Arabidopsis thaliana: one gene and its partners. The protein of the gene in region 3 interacts with the protein of the main gene of each other region in a pairwise test. Each region holds a gene or a part of one and is shown on either strand. Other genes may lie near its edges. The genes, in order: AT1G15350, AT3G54880 and AT2G23070.

Region 1 (5,147 bases), on a different chromosome or scaffold from region 3:
TATTTTGTTTCTCTTTATTTTTGTTGTAGACTTTTGTAGCTACTTAAAGATTGAATGATTGATGATAGTACTCCTGTAATTTGGAATACATGTTTTTCTTTTCTTTTTGGTTTTATTGTATTATTTTTCGAATCCATCAGCCTAGTTAATTTCATACTGCTAAAATTTACGTATAGTGTTTATTTAAATGCCAGATATTTTAACGAAAAAAAAAATTGTTGATCTTTTCAAACACGAAAATCACGTGATTGAATGTCCGAAATAGTCGATAGAATAAGAAAATTAACTTGCAAGAGGCCAACGATGTTTCAACCAAAAGGCAAAAGTTTCCTAACCGCGAATTTAACGGGTTTATGAATCTCCTTTTCTGGTACTCTCTTACGTATGCACGTGTCCTCATGTGTGGACCAAATAGCCCGATTATTTCAAAATGGGCCTTTATTGGGCCATACTGATGTCCACAATGAATGTAAAGAAGTTAGGTTTTACAGCAACGGCGCGAAGAACAGTCAACCCCGAAATAGAAGTGATCAAATGCCAGCAAATGCCACCTTAAATTTCTCCACAAGAAACCGTTTCCTTCTTCTGTATTCAACTCTGATCAACGGCCATTCGTTCAAATTTACTAAATTCAAAGATGTTTGTTTTGTGTTCACTTTCAAAACTTCTCCATAAATTGTTTTGTTTTTCATTTTCTAGTTCCTTAAGAACCGAATGAAAATGACATGTTTCCGTCTCCAATAGGTCGAATTCACAAGACACCAAGAATTATGCAATATTGGATTCATCTTTGATTAGTCTTGTCCAAATTATCTTGGCACTGTGCTTGGATGCAAAAGAGTGGATATTGCTTGTGCTAATGGCTTCAAGGATCCAGCTTTCACCGAAGTTGTAGTATCGGTGGGACTAGAACATCATCTGTTCATGTAAGAAAAATTAATTGCTTTCATAGTTTATCAGCCATGGAATCGAATCCGTGAATCACTGCGAAATGTTTTGAAAGATTAACAACCGGAAAAGTGAACTGATAAGAGCTTTATATGTGAGTATGAGTGGTAACAGAATGATTACAAGACCTGCGAGGGAAATCTTCCTAACATCATCATCTCTGTCTTTTTCTTCAATGTCTTCCTCTGTTTCATGGGATGATGCCGTAGAGAGAAGTACAAAAGAGTCCAAAGCATCTTCTGAGGATACGAGTCAGCAGAATTGGGAACTTTCAAATGCTTCTTCTTCTAAAGGCTCTGACATATCAGGTGTGACTCATGTCAGGATGCAGCCTTCTTCTTCTTCTCAAGGCTCTGAAATATCTGGTTTGACTCATCTCAGGATGCAACCAGCTCCATCTCCGCCTTCTAGGTTACGACCAGTTCACTTGATGAATAATGGTATAGCGAATTACGATCCCGGGAGAATCCCTGCATCGGTGTTTAGTAAGAATGGGGATGTGGATTGGAGCGAAATATCAAATGAGTCTTTGTTTAGTCTGAAAATTGATGGCTATAGAAAGTCAAACGCTCAAGGGTCTCGTCACAGTAATTTAAAACCTGATGAAGTTTTGATGTCGGGTGAGTTCTTGAGATATTCCCCTTCTCTGGTAGTCAAACCTGAGGATGCAAAAGAGAAAACATCTGAAGTGGAAGAGGTAAAGAATAATGAAGAAACAAGACTTCAGAGTCACAATCATCGAGAGAAATACCCGTCATTTCCAGATGTCCCATTGAGTAGTATCCCCAACAACTTCTATTGCTTATACGCGCCGCGGACAAAACCTGTGTCTTTTTCCCTTCCTGTGGGTGAGAAAAAGAGTATGAAGAGAAAGAAGAGAAGAAAGAACAAGAAGAAGAAGAATAAAAAGGAGAAGAAGAAGAAGAAGTGTTGCACTTGCATGTGGACTTGGTTGTGCTCAGTATTTTCAAAGTGAGTGTGTGACTTGCGTTGCTCTACAAATGGAGAAAGTGTGGCTGCTGCTGCAAGCAAACAATGTTTTTGTAATCATGAGAGTTATGTATTGACATTTAAACAACTATCTTTATTTGCATCCTTAATGCTTAATGTATTCTTACGCTAATGGTTAACAGTTTTCTTCTATGCTTTGATTCCAGACTATTATTTATTTCATTATAGAAAATGATAATGTATTACGAATACAAGCTGTATGGGAAAAATATGATGAGTGGGGTTGATTATAAGACAATGGATTGGAGAGGCATGGAAGATGCACAATTATTTTGACTTTTAATAATAAGCTCATACCAAACACACTATCTATATACATTATACACATTCGTCAATTATCAAGTTGTTCGAATTATTACAAGTTCTTTGATTTGGTTGATTAAAATTACAATAATACCCTCAATGCCAAGAGATCCGTATAACGGCTGGGGGATGAATAATAACTTCTCTGGTCATCGAAACAAAGGCAAATCATTTCAAAGCGAAAGGAAAAGGAGAAACGTAAAGAGGGCAAAGCCCTTCTTCTTCTTGTTCGAGAAGGAGCTGCAGCCTCAGATAAGGATTCTTTTGATGCCCAGTTGATAAAGGAAGCGACTTTATTTTAACCAACGAGATTTTATCATCAGGTAAGCAAAGCTGTTTGATTCGTTGATTCTTTTGTATATATTGAATATGTTTTTGTTCGCTGTTGATTGGTTTCTTCTTTGGCTTTTATCTATAATAGGGTTGGTTAATTGGTTTGTTATTTGACAAGGATCATTGATCACCCTCTTGAGAACATCTCGAGCTTTCCCAGATCTATCTGAGCTCCTGGGTTTATAAATCGCTTCCTTCACATATCGATGGGGTGCGTTTCTTCTTCCGATTTCTGTTTTTGACTTTATGCAGAATGTTTTGGTATTTGATTGATTTGGATTTGAGATTCTGTTTGATGGGCTTTGTTCCTGCGTTATGTGCTGCTTGGGATTCATGTTCATGATAGATAAACCCTAATTTTATTGCTGGGGAATGGTGTTTATAAGGTTGTTTTATGCAGATGAGATAGCTATCTCTGAAAGTTTTATAGAAAAATGTTTTGCTAAGGAAATAAGGATGTTTTTTGGGCAATGATCAAAAGTTATGGTTTTGTAACAGAGCAGTGGCTGCGTGGGTTGCTACAGAGAACACAGATCAACTGCCGCCAGTCTGAAGGATCCACCTTCCAATTCCATTGCTCGACCGTGTAAGAAACCGAGTGTCTCTGAAGATTTCTGGTCAACAAGCACAGTTGATATGGACAACATCACCTTCCCTTCACAGGGGAGCTTATCATCATCCAATCAGACTTTTGATTCTCAATCTGCTGCTAGAAACTCTAATGCTCCTCCTGAATATGTAAATCAAGGTACTTTCTTTTTTGGATTTCACGGAAGGGGAGCGTTGTGGTCTAGTGTTTTGTGATGGTTATATATGAAGTGGGTTTGTGTGTTTGCAGGTCTTCTTCTTTGGAATCAGACACGGGAGCGTTGGGTGGGAAAGGATAAACCCAACAACCCGGTGGATCACAATCAAGGAGCCAAGTTAAAGTGAGTGGCTCTGTTACACACTATTGTTTGCTGAAAGCTAAGGGCTAAAGTCTGGCAATGTTACATTTTATATGTCTATCATTTGCAGTTGGAACACAGCAACGTATGATAGCTTGCTGGGGAGCAACAAGTTATTTCCCCAACCCATTCCTCTCACCGTAAGTAATCAAACTCCTCCGAGTGCAGGAAAAAAACCCAGTCAACTAACTGTGTTACTGATTGAAAACAGGAAATGGTGGATTTTCTAGTGGACATTTGGGAACAAGAAGGTCTATATGACTGAACAAGACTTGGAAGACACACACACATACTGGTTCGGGCATTTCTGATTTATTTTTTCTTTTCGGTTTTCTTTTCTTTTCTCAAAGCCCTTGTTGTTACCACTTATCATCTTCCATTTGGAGTTGATCGAGAATACTGGGAAATGTGGCTTATACGTTTTCACCGTAAATGAGAAATATCCTTTGTTTACCATCTTTCAGTCCAAAAGAATTAAGAGCAATATCTCGGTTTGACTAATCAGTATCTTAATATGGGACATGTTCTTGTGTATTTTTGTTTTGTTTTGTTAAGGACATGTTCTTGTGTCTCATGTCCCACTTGCACATTGATCCTACCTTCCAGGTGATCTGTCCAGTGTTTGATTTCCACATATATGTACATTTTATTTTAATAAAATGATTAGAGGACATTCCTTAAATTAGTGCTCTTCACTAATTATTAGGGATTAGACTTGTGCCAACAAGAGAATCTGAACCTAAAAGTATCAAAGCAAAAAAAATGTTCCGAATAGTAATTGGGCTGTTGATTTGGGCTTTTAGCATGGAGAGTAGTAGTAGGAGAGTGGGAATAAAACAGAAAAAGAATATTCGGCGTGAAAACAGCAGCGGTCACGTACCGGACCTCAACACCACTCTCCATTCTACTTTATTAAGCGGGAAACAGATACTTCCTTATCCATCGATGAAACGTCGACCACACTGGATACGTGTCGTTCTCAAAGAGGTCTGTCACTAAACTATCACGTCGACCCAGTGTAAATTTATCATCCACGCTCTCGTGGATTACGTGGAGGAAGAAATATCATTTCTTGTTTGAAATAAAAAAAGAATAAAAAAAATTAGGACAGAACAGAAGAGACACGCAAACATATCCATTAGGGTCACAACGGTTCTTACAGCTTCTATTACCAGAAAGGAAAGAAAGCCGAAATTTGTTTCAAGATAAAGTAATTTAAGTTGGAGCTTGTTTCTTGGTCGTACAGTGTCAGGTGAATAGAGAAGAAGAAGATGGAAAACACAGACGAGCTTGTCTCCATTGAGCTACCAGCTCCAGCTTCATGGAAGAAACTGGTATTTCTTCCTTCTTTGTCCCTTCTACTGTTTCTTGAAATTTCTGCTGTAATTATTATTCCTTTTTTCCTTTAATTGATGTTGTCTGTGTAAGAGATTGTTTGTCTGTTCTGCTTTATCTTGAAGTTAGTTTCTTTTGTTTCTCATGGTTTAGGGTTTATGTTCAATTTGGGGGATTTCAAGAAATGTTCGTTTCTAGTCGAATTTGGGGCTCTTTGTGTTCAATTCATTTTGAATTATCCAATTAGATGGGAATTTAACGGTTAGGGCT
Region 2 (5,147 bases), on a different chromosome or scaffold from region 3:
TGTGGAGTATATGAGTAGTCAGTCTTTTTCTCATGATACAGTATATGGATATAACAAATAGATAGTTCATCATATCTGTAAATGTTTTCACAACTCCTAAAGATTTAATTTCATACCATAATTGAATCTCTCCTTTGTTCTTTGTCAATCTAGTTCGTGGCATTGTTAGATTCTTCTAATCGTAAAGGCCTTCATCGTACCAAATATCGACAAGAAAGTCCACCATCTCCTACATAAAGATCAAATGGAAAATTCAGGAATTGAGAATGATTGTAGGTTCCTTTTTTTAAGTCAAGGTAGATATTGGGATTAGATTAAAGCTTACGGGTAAAGGAATCGACTCAGAGAAAGGTTCATGAGTTGAGAGAAGATCTTCATATGTAGTAGACCAGCTGCAAGAGATTCAAGAACATCTTAGAAAACATTGCCTTCTTTGATTCTTTGACACTGCAAAAAGATTGTCAGATGAACTTAAAGGTTGATGAAACACATAATACCTTATAATCTGATCCTTTGCAGTGTTTTTTCTTTGTCGAGATTGATCTCCCACCCATTTTTCCCTGTTCTCTTGCCACATCTTTGCACCTGTAATCAAGAAAGATCCTTATAGATAGTGTTCAAGAACATCAAATATCAAATTACAGAGCCAACAAGTTAAAATATCCGGCGGTGTCACCCAAAAACAGAGGTAAGGTAACACAATGTGGCAATAATAAGAGTTAGTCATCTTCTTAAGCTGAGGTGTGGAATGTACCATGATTCACAAGTGTAAGGGTGTTTTCGCTGTTCGTTTTCACCGAGCTTTTCTCGTCTTTGACTAGTTTTGAAAGCTCAAGAGTAGGTTTGTTTTCGGTGGACAGACAATTTGCAGTATAAAGCTCCATTCTTATTCAATCGAATGATCATTCCTTTACGAATAAACCCGAGTATACCAATTCACATCCACATACAAAAAAACATCAAAGGTTTCCACACAAGCTGCTATAAAGAAACAACAAGAAACCAATTAAAACCCCATTTCAAAAATCATGAAAACTGTTACAAGAAAGGGTTGGTTTAATTTACCTCATTGACATTTTCATCAATCAGCTATGTGGAAAACCCTAGAAGATTCAAGAAAACAAAACATACCAGATTTCTCAGAAAACAATACGTTATGAAAGAAAGATTCAAACCATATACACCAAACTCATAGCAAAAGAAGAAAAAAAAACATCTTTCCTTTTTTAACGCATTGGGTTTACATTCATTAAAATCTTCATTCATCTCTAAGGCAACAAAACAGAGATTTTTCAATCAAAGAACTAGTTCTATCTCCTTAAGAAATGTATTGAGATTAAAACAATGGCATTTCCGGTGAAGAATATATTTTTAAAGATCCAAATAAAACAGATCAGAAGCATTCAAGATCCAAAAAGATTCTAAGGAGAAACCAAAATTCATGATAGAAAGAGAAAGTTTGCTACATAAGAAAAGTAGAGGATAGAGGAATGATTACCTTAATGAGGAAAGTATCAACAGAAAATTTGGTAGAGGGATTGAAACTGCATTATATGTTTTCTTTTAGGTTTTATATGTAAAGGAAAATTTTAGATCTTGAGTAGGCAATGAAAAATCAACTAAAAATAAATTTTAAAAAGGAATAATTTATGAGCCAAATATAGAATTTAAAAATTAATTAAAGGAGTTTACTTGTAGTTGGTAATGAGTAAATAATGTATGTATCCACTAGAATACAGATATATCTTTGGGTCAATGAGACAGAAAAAATTAAGCATGCCCCACGCAGCTCAAGTTTCTATCTCAATCTTACGTGGATATGATTAGGAAGATAGCTCCATTCTTTATTATATTGGAAGAGAATGGTGAAAATTTTGTCACATGTCAAATCTAAAGTTTTCTTTAAGTTTTTTGAAATATAAAATAAATTATTTGAAATTCTGATTACTTGATTTTAATGAATTAAATTGAGAAAATCATATAATAATAGAATACTAAGCCATATATGAATTAAAATCTGTAAACATTAATGTGGTATTGATTTTTCTTCAAATTCTAGCTCAATATATAATTAAGGGAACCATTGAATGTCAAAGATGTTATTTTCTAGAACTATGTCTCATTTAAACTTTATAGTTGAGAATATAAAAGGAAGACAAAACTTTCCAAGACTCTGTTTAGAGAGTACTCTATTTTGTAGGTGAAGATTAGTATGCAAAAGAACAAAAGAAAAATTAGTAGAAGTATAGAACAAATGTGATAAGAAAGACATCAACTAATTTCAAAAAAAATCCTTAAATGATTTTACTAGAAAAGAGAGGGAAGAAAATTAACAGGATTGTTTTTGTTCAATATGAAAAAATGTAGAAGGTAAAAATGAGGGGGAAAAAAGATGAATAGAAAATATTCATCAAAACTCAAATGTAAAATGCATGTATCTTGGTGTGGTTCAATAACCATTTATCTAAGTTGATATAAACAAAAAGCATATTTGGATAGAGTTGAGAACTCTAACAAATAATCATGAGCTAACAATGTTTCTTCTGTTATGGAGTTTATAGTATGTGAATGTGATTGTTGAGAAATCTAACAAATAGTCATGAGCTTACAATGTTTCTTCTGTAGGAAGCATGAGATGTAATGTGTATTTGGGTTCAAAAGGTTCATCACTTAGAATTCAAGCTCACACGAGCATTCGATCACCAAGACAAATTACAGGAATTCACAAATCTGTCTTTCATTACACAGTGTTTTTGATACACATAAAGCTCATAAGGTACACATATTTCTATTTTTACATTCATTAGTTGAAAGGGATAACAATATCGCCAATGTTGTTGTGCCATGGATCCGCCAAGTGAGTTGCCAAGTTCTCCAATGGTCCTGTCCCCGGGTAAGCCGACTGTTGCACACAGAATCCTACAAACGCCAACAGCGCAAGCCGCCCTGTTACACCCACCAAGCAAAAAACACCAACATTAGATATACATTTGTACATAAGTTTGATCAAGAAAGGTAAGTTGTTGTGTGTGCTTACCGTTCTTGATCTCTTTAACTTTCAATTCCTCGAGCTTCTTGGGGTCCTTCGAGTATCCAAGAGGGTCAAATGCGCCTCCCGGGTACTTCTTCTTCTCAGGGTCTTTCTCCATACTTCTCTGGTGCTCAACAAATGCAATGGCTAAGAACTCAATGGCCAAGATTGTGGGCAAAGTACCCCACGGGACTGGGTTTCCCAAGTAAGTGGCTTGACCCCCTGGTAGTGCTGCCCATTCCTGAGCCTTAACCCAGTTTCCATATCCTAATGCTTCTGGTACCAAAATCCCAGGCTACAACACCACCCACCAAGTCCATTAGATTAAACTTAACAAGACTAAACCCTTATGATAAGACAAAGATTGGATATTGAAACTTACAACAGCGAGCATAGCCCATCTACAGTGGATGAGCTCTGACTCTTTGTATCTCTCAAGGTTCGCTGGAACTTCTCCAAGTCCAAGTGGGTCAAACCCAAAGTCACTGCACAATGTTGTACCCAATAACTTAGAAAAACTGAAACTTTCTAAACAACCTCCAATGTTGAAATCAGAACCCTTAAGTCATCAAAAGAGGTTCCAGTAATCTATCTAGAATCTCTGAATACACAACTAAAGGGAATTCAAATTCTGAAAGGAGACAACTTTCTGAAATATGAATACCCAATAACATAAAAAAAATTGAATCTTTCACAAAACGTACAATGTTGCATCATGTCATCAAAACAGAGTAATCTAACAAACAATTCTGATTCCAAACTGAGCAACAAAACAGAGTAAAAGGGTTCGAAGCGTACCCAGGAGCAGAACCGTCAAGGTAAGCTGGTCGTGGCTCGCCAGGCATCCAGTGAGCAGCCATTCTGATACGACCAACATTCCCGGCGTTTGGGAGTGGAACTCCGGCGGATACGAATTTAGACTTGGAAGAAGAGAGAAGCGAAGGGTACACGGCGGCTATGCCACAGCTCATAAGCGAGTTCGACGCCATCGTTTCTCTCTATCTGTCGTTGTGTTTGCCACCAAAGGAGAAAGATGTGGACGAGAGGTGTTTGGTGGAAGTGTGAATGTGGGAGACTGATCGTATAAGTAAGATTTGTGAGATGAGAATCTAAAACCAGATTGCAATTGGCTATACAGAGCCTGCGTGGCTTTTTCATTGGGCCACGTGTCTTCTCGATATCATGTTCTTCTGTTCGATATCCATCTGCACTATGTGGTTCAGATAAAAGCAGAATCTACGTATATTACTATTTTGCCATTTATCCACTGCAACGAGATGCTATCAGATAAGTCTTCCTGTTCGGTGAAACACATTTCTACTAATGTTTTAAAACTTGACCCGGACCGGTAAATCTGCGATTGGTCATGAATCCGGTCTGGATTTATTGCTAAGACTGGAGACTTATCAAACCGGTAAAACTTGGATCAACGAACACATGCGAGGCTAAATCATATGTCTTGAAAGGAGTATCTAACAAACGATACATTTTGAGACAACGTGTTTAGACATTGAAGTGAGACAGAATACCATTTGCAGACACACTGTACCGGTGAATGTTCAGAATCTTTGGAACTAAGTTTCTTTAAATTGTATCTCAATCAGGATATGAATGAGCATAACAACCCATGACTTCATGTCTCTTAGTCAGAAACAAACTTAGATTCTACTAGCACTACTTCACACATAAACCTTTCAACAAACAACACAAATTTGCAGGCCAACACATATGACAAAGGAAACTCAAATTCCAAGCAACTCCAACTGTTGTATACCTAAATCCATCATACAATATATGTCTCTTAATGTTACAACCACAAACTCTGAAACATCAAAATCACATTTTTTTTCCCAGGTGATAGATAGATAGATAAGATCAAATTCCATCATCACAAAAACCAAGTATTGAAATCAGGATCAAGAGCACATAGCTTTCTCCACCTCTTCCTGCAATTCTCCAGTCTTAAACGCCTCAAGAGTAATATCACAACCACCGAAAAACTCACCGCCGATATAAAGCTGAGGAAACGTCGGCCAATTCGAATACTCTTTAAGTCCTTGCCTCAACATCTCATTCTCCAGAATATTCACATCTTCGAAAGGAACATTCAGATTCT
Region 3 (5,147 bases):
GTTTTGGTCTTAACATGAAGGCTTCATAATTGTATAGAGAAAAGTTAAGTGTTGTACCTCAGGAACTGCTAAGTGCTGGTTTTCAGAATTGATGAACTTTGTCCATGGCTTCCGGCTATGTCTATATAAAATCAAGAGTGCATAATTTAATGTTCTGAAATGATAAGGCGCAAAACTGGAGTTTTTAGAGTTTTTCATAACTTTTTAAACCGGATTACCTGCCCACGAGGGATGTTAGATTAGGGTCCAACTCTATACGGTATTTGTTTAGGTAGGCGTTGAGTTCATCTGTGCCAAGCACCTGCCATAGTTATAAATACATAGAATCGTATTTTTAGCTATAACTTGGAGGAATGTAAAATCTGTTCAGAGGAGACGAGACATGATGAAAGCTTTTGTAATGTTACCTTCGCAATTTTGACCAATTGATCATAGTTGTCATGGCCATAAAAGAACGGCTCCTTGCGGAATATCTGCAAACAGTAGAGTATACAATATTCACCACTTAACTAACTTAAGGAATGGTAAAATAACCAAAATGTACTGTCGAATTCTTGTCATTCCATTACAGCTTAAACCAAGTTAACTAAATTCTAGCTTAAAACGCTTACCATTCCAGCAAACATACACCCAAGACTCCATAGGTCTAAGGAATAATCATAGTCCTGTAAATCCACCAGCAGCTCTGGACCCTTAAAGTACCTGCTCATCAAATATGAAGTGAGAAATGATAATAGTATACATCAGCTAGACGAAGTTAGATAATATGTTTCAACTAATCTCAAGAGCTCAATGCATGCAATCTTCAACATTTCTTATCTAGACTCTCTATGAGCAGAAATTTAGCAACTGCAACAAATAGAATCTTGCAGAGGAGAGATTAGCAGATAGCCAAAAGGAACTACCTTGAAGCAACACGGACATTGTATTCTTTCCCAGGATGATAGAATTCTGCCAAACCCCAGTCAATTAAACGAAGTTTTCGCTGCTCGTGATCAATCATGACATTATGTGGTTTCACATCTCTGTGCATGATTCCACGTGAATGGCAGAAATCCAACGCCTGCATAAATGTTAAAAAGAAACAACAAACAGCATCAGAAACAAATTCGTACCCTTTATAACTGAAGGCTAGTGGATTCAAAAGTCAAGTAAGGTAAACAACAGTGTATGACGCTATACATCTATGATATATCTACCGATTACTTTTGCCAATTGCCAAAGCCGCAAAGAAAATCATGGTCTACAATTCAGGAAACTGAATAATTACCTTTAGAAGTTCAAAAATGTAATATCGAACATCATAGTCTGAGAGAGTTGGATAGAGAACTTTGAAATCTTTATTGTTCACATGTTCAAATATCAAGCTGGGCGTCTTAGACTGCTGATCTCTAACAATGTCGAGCAATTTTACAATATTAGGCCCACCGCAGAGGTTCTGCAGAATCTTAATCTCTCTCTTAATCTGCGTCAAGGAGAAGCAAAATATGTTAGAGAATAATTCAAACCAAGTGAAGGGCCAGAAACACACTTCATTCTGAGCACAATTGAGATAAAAACAAGCAAGCGGCTGTATCTACTCACCTTCTTCTTCTTCACAGGCTTCAAAATCTTGATAACACATTTCTCGTTATCAGTAGCATGAATGCCTTCAAAGACCTCACTGTATTTTCCCCTTCCTACCTTCCTCACCACCTCATAATCATCCTGTACACTGCGGCATCAATGAAGCTAACTCAAACACTAATACACCAAACAGTAACAACACCATACAAACTCAAGATATCAATTCAACAATCTAGTTCACATAGACCAGCAATTTTCAAGAGATTATATACAAACAAAACAGATACCAATACAAACAAATCAGATACCAATTCTGCATTACTTACGAGATTATATCATCAATCAAAAATATGAAACGAAACCCTAAATCTACATTCCACATTGATTCCAGAACAACCAATCCCAAACCAATCTATAACCAAAGGCAAACATCTAGAAATCGACGTAATTAGGTTTAATTAGAGAAGAATCTGAAGATATACCCCCATTGAACAGCAAGGGACTCGTAATCCCAATAGTCCTTAGGTCTAACAACGTTGACATCAGCGTAAACCCTAGCTTTCGACGGCGCACCGGCACGCCGGATAGATTTACCGATCTTCTGAGCCAGCGTTTCTGATTTTTCTTTCACGCGCGATTGCTGTTGTTGCTGATGTTGTTGTTGTTGATTCCGGAGATGTTGACGGTAAAGAGAAGCGCTGGATGCGAAACGACGGAGATTGTCCTGGAGCGAAGAGAGAAGAAGATTCCTCTTCGCCGGAGACGACGAAGAGAAGGAGAGGAGAGAGAAGAGATTGTTGTTGGCGGCGGAAGCGTTGCGAAGAGAGGAGATTGTGAATCCAGTACAAGGCCTTAAGGCCATTAATGTCTTTTTTTAACTCTTATTCAGAAAATGAAAAGTGAAGGTAACGAATTTGCTTTATTTCTCTCCTTTCTTTTTCTTTGGCTTCTCTTCGAAACGATGTCGTTTAAACAATTCGGTCCGGTTATAGTGTGATTGAAATCGATCCGATTGGGTTTGTTTCGGTTCGAGTGTGGTTGAATCGGTTCGATTTGGTTTAGGTGGTTTTTGGGTATCAGAGATTCTTCTTCAACCTTTTTCTAATCCTGCACAACGCACTTCTTCTGTTGTCATCATCATCGTCCACTTGAAACAAACCTGACGATCAAAGAGAAGATTGCGATCGCAAATTTCTCCATTTTTTCAGATCGAAATTGATGTCGAAAGCTAGGGTTTATACAGATGTTAACGTTGTTCGTCCTAAAGAGTATTGGGACTACGAGTCTCTCGTTGTTCAATGGGGGTAAAACTTCTAGCTTTAGAATTTTTCTTTGATGAATTTACGATTTTTGACTTCTTTTTGATAAATTTTCGGTGGAATTTGATTGATTTGTTGCCAAATCGAATTCGAAATCAGAGAAATTGGAATTTTTTAGGGTTTGGACTTAGGTCTCTTGAAGACACTTTGTTTTAAGTATCTATTAGCAAATATTGGATTTTGAAATTCAACAGTGTGAGATTCTTAAATACTTTTGTGTGATTCTTCAGTCATCAAGATGATTATGAGGTTGTGAGAAAAGTTGGTAGAGGAAAATACAGTGAAGTTTTCGAAGGCAAAAACGTCAATACGAATGAGCGTTGCGTTATCAAGATCCTCAAACCCGTAAAAAAGAAGAAGGTGATCAGTTAGTAGAACTCATTTCTGATGAATTTGCATACATAAAGATGGCTAATTTTGCTGAAACTTGATGTTATGCAGATAAAGAGAGAGATCAAAATACTTCAGAACCTATGTGGTGGACCAAATATTGTTAAGCTGTATGATATTGTTAGAGATGAGCACTCCAAAACACCTAGCTTGGTATTTGAGTTTGTCAACAGTGTGGACTTTAAAGTATTGTATCCAACATTGACTGATTACGATATCCGGTACTATATTTATGAGCTTCTGAAGGTAATGTATCGGTATTTACCATAAATGACTTTTACCGTACATACAAATGTTTATCGTGGAATCCAGAGCTGATGTTATTGCATTTCAGGCATTGGATTTCTGTCACTCTCAAGGAATAATGCATAGGGATGTTAAGCCTCATAATGTCATGATAGATCATCAGCTGCGTAAACTTCGTCTGATAGATTGGGGCCTTGCTGAGTTTTACCATCCCGGAAAAGAGTATAATGTTCGCGTGGCCTCGAGGTAATATCCGATACCACAGCTTAATTCCACCTGTCTTGGCAAGCCTAAGAGGGTCATTCGTAGATGCCAATGATTGAAACTTTTAGCTGTGCAATCAAAGCTTCTTGTAGTTGTTAAATGCATTAGACTAAAAACCTGTGAATTAATTGCCAGATACTTCAAGGGTCCCGAGCTTTTAGTTGATCTACAGGATTATGACTATTCTTTAGACATGTGGAGTCTTGGTTGCATGTTTGCTGGCATGGTGAGAACTAATAATCCCCTCACTCTTCTCTCTAGCTTCAATGCTGAAGCTATTGCAAGCATTTGAATTTCCGAATGGTAGTCGTTAATACTTTGCTGTTGCTTATTCACTTGTCAAATATTGATGCTGCAGATATTCCGTAAGGAACCGTTCTTTTATGGCCATGATAATCATGATCAACTTGTCAAAATTGCCAAGGTATATTGCTAGTCTATGACTTATTGGCATAAAATTACATTGTAAACTTAAATCCATGTATATGATTTCTGATTGAAACGTGTGCATAGGTGTTGGGAACCAATGAGTTAGATCATTACCTAAACAAATATCAGCTAGATCTTGACCCTCAACTGGAAGCACTTGTTGGAAGGTTTTATTCCATCCCTGAATCTCTCTGTCTTTAAAAGTCAAAATTGTTGCTGTTCTCAACTCTGGCTCAGTTAATTTTATACCAATGAGTTAAAACCTGAAGTCACTCTTATTTGTAGACATGTCCCCAAACCATGGTCCAAGTTTATCAACGCGGACAACCAACATTTGGTCTCACCTGAGGTACTACTCTTTTTCGAAAAACATAGTTTTGCTTCGTTCTGGGTGTATTGACTCATTGTATACATCTTTAGGCAATTGATTTTCTCGATAAGCTTCTTCAGTATGATCATCAAGACAGATTAACCGCAAGAGAAGCCATGGTAAAAATCCTCTTCATGTGCACACATCTTTTGATTTTGTTTTACCCGATGATCTTCATGTGCACACATCTTTTGATTTTGTTTTACCCGATGATCAAGTCAAACTTATAATCTCTGGTTTCTCTATTGATCTATAGGATCATCCATACTTCGCTCAAGTTAAAGCCGCAGAGAGCAGCAGACTACGAACTCAGTAAAACCGAAGCTTGATTGATGATGCTTACTACTATTTTTCAACCAAAAACTTTGTAATGATTTTGTTGTATCAAAATTGTGGTAATCTTTACTTTCATAGAAACATAATCAACAGCGAAAAGAAGCCAACTTATATTAAAAAAAAAGGTTCCACACAAAGCTTCATTATATAATCATAGCAAGAGACTTATTGTTGAAACAAGTAGAGAGAAATAGAAACCATAAAATTTGTCGAGACTTTGATACAAA

What was found.
Region 1: the proteins of AT2G23070 (region 3) and AT1G15350 interact in a two-hybrid assay, tested with the Arabidopsis thaliana proteins (one large-scale study listed by BioGRID).
Region 2: the proteins of AT2G23070 (region 3) and AT3G54880 interact in a two-hybrid assay, tested with the Arabidopsis thaliana proteins (one large-scale study listed by BioGRID).

The regions. Positions count from the first base shown.
Region 1 is NC_003070.9:5,277,141-5,282,287, reverse strand, and holds AT1G15350 (DUF4050 family protein), read left to right. Parts: upstream 1-2,337; 5' UTR 2,338-2,585; intron 2,586-2,683; exon of another isoform or gene 2,684-2,713; 5' UTR 2,714-2,801; coding exon 2,802-2,806; exon of another isoform or gene 2,807-2,981; intron 2,982-3,093; exon of another isoform or gene 3,094-3,098; coding exon 3,099-3,343; intron 3,344-3,433; coding exon 3,434-3,524; intron 3,525-3,612; coding exon 3,613-3,682; intron 3,683-3,753; coding exon 3,754-3,807; 3' UTR 3,808-4,175; downstream 4,176-5,147. Other genes in the region: MBD10 (methyl-CPG-binding domain 10), read left to right, coding at 4,814-4,876.
Region 2 is NC_003074.8:20,336,903-20,342,049, forward strand, and holds the start of AT3G54880 (zinc finger protein), read right to left. Parts: upstream 1,697-5,147; 5' UTR 1,499-1,696; intron 1,104-1,498; 5' UTR 1,066-1,103; intron 979-1,065; 5' UTR 885-978; coding exon 755-884; intron 586-754; coding exon 498-585; intron 393-497; coding exon 326-392; intron 230-325; coding exon 176-229; 3' UTR 1-175. Other genes in the region: LHCA1 (chlorophyll a-b binding protein 6), read right to left, coding at 2,804-2,946, 3,038-3,326, 3,414-3,516, 3,830-4,020; CXIP1 (CAX interacting protein 1), read right to left, coding at 4,948-5,147.
Region 3 is NC_003071.7:9,824,444-9,829,590, forward strand, and holds the start of AT2G23070 (Protein kinase superfamily protein), read right to left. Parts: upstream 2,456-5,147; 5' UTR 2,429-2,455; coding exon 2,049-2,428; intron 1,715-2,048; coding exon 1,585-1,714; intron 1,466-1,584; coding exon 1,271-1,465; intron 1,064-1,270; coding exon 906-1,063; intron 703-905; coding exon 612-702; intron 474-611; coding exon 408-473; intron 302-407; coding exon 219-301; intron 122-218; coding exon 58-121; intron 1-57. Other genes in the region: CKA3 (Protein kinase superfamily protein), read left to right, coding at 2,785-2,870, 3,116-3,245, 3,327-3,521, 3,610-3,767, 3,921-4,011, 4,144-4,209, 4,299-4,381, 4,500-4,563 and 2 more. UniProt on the Arabidopsis thaliana protein: Casein kinases are operationally defined by their preferential utilization of acidic proteins such as caseins as substrates. The alpha chain contains the catalytic site. Involved in the regulation of various developmental processes.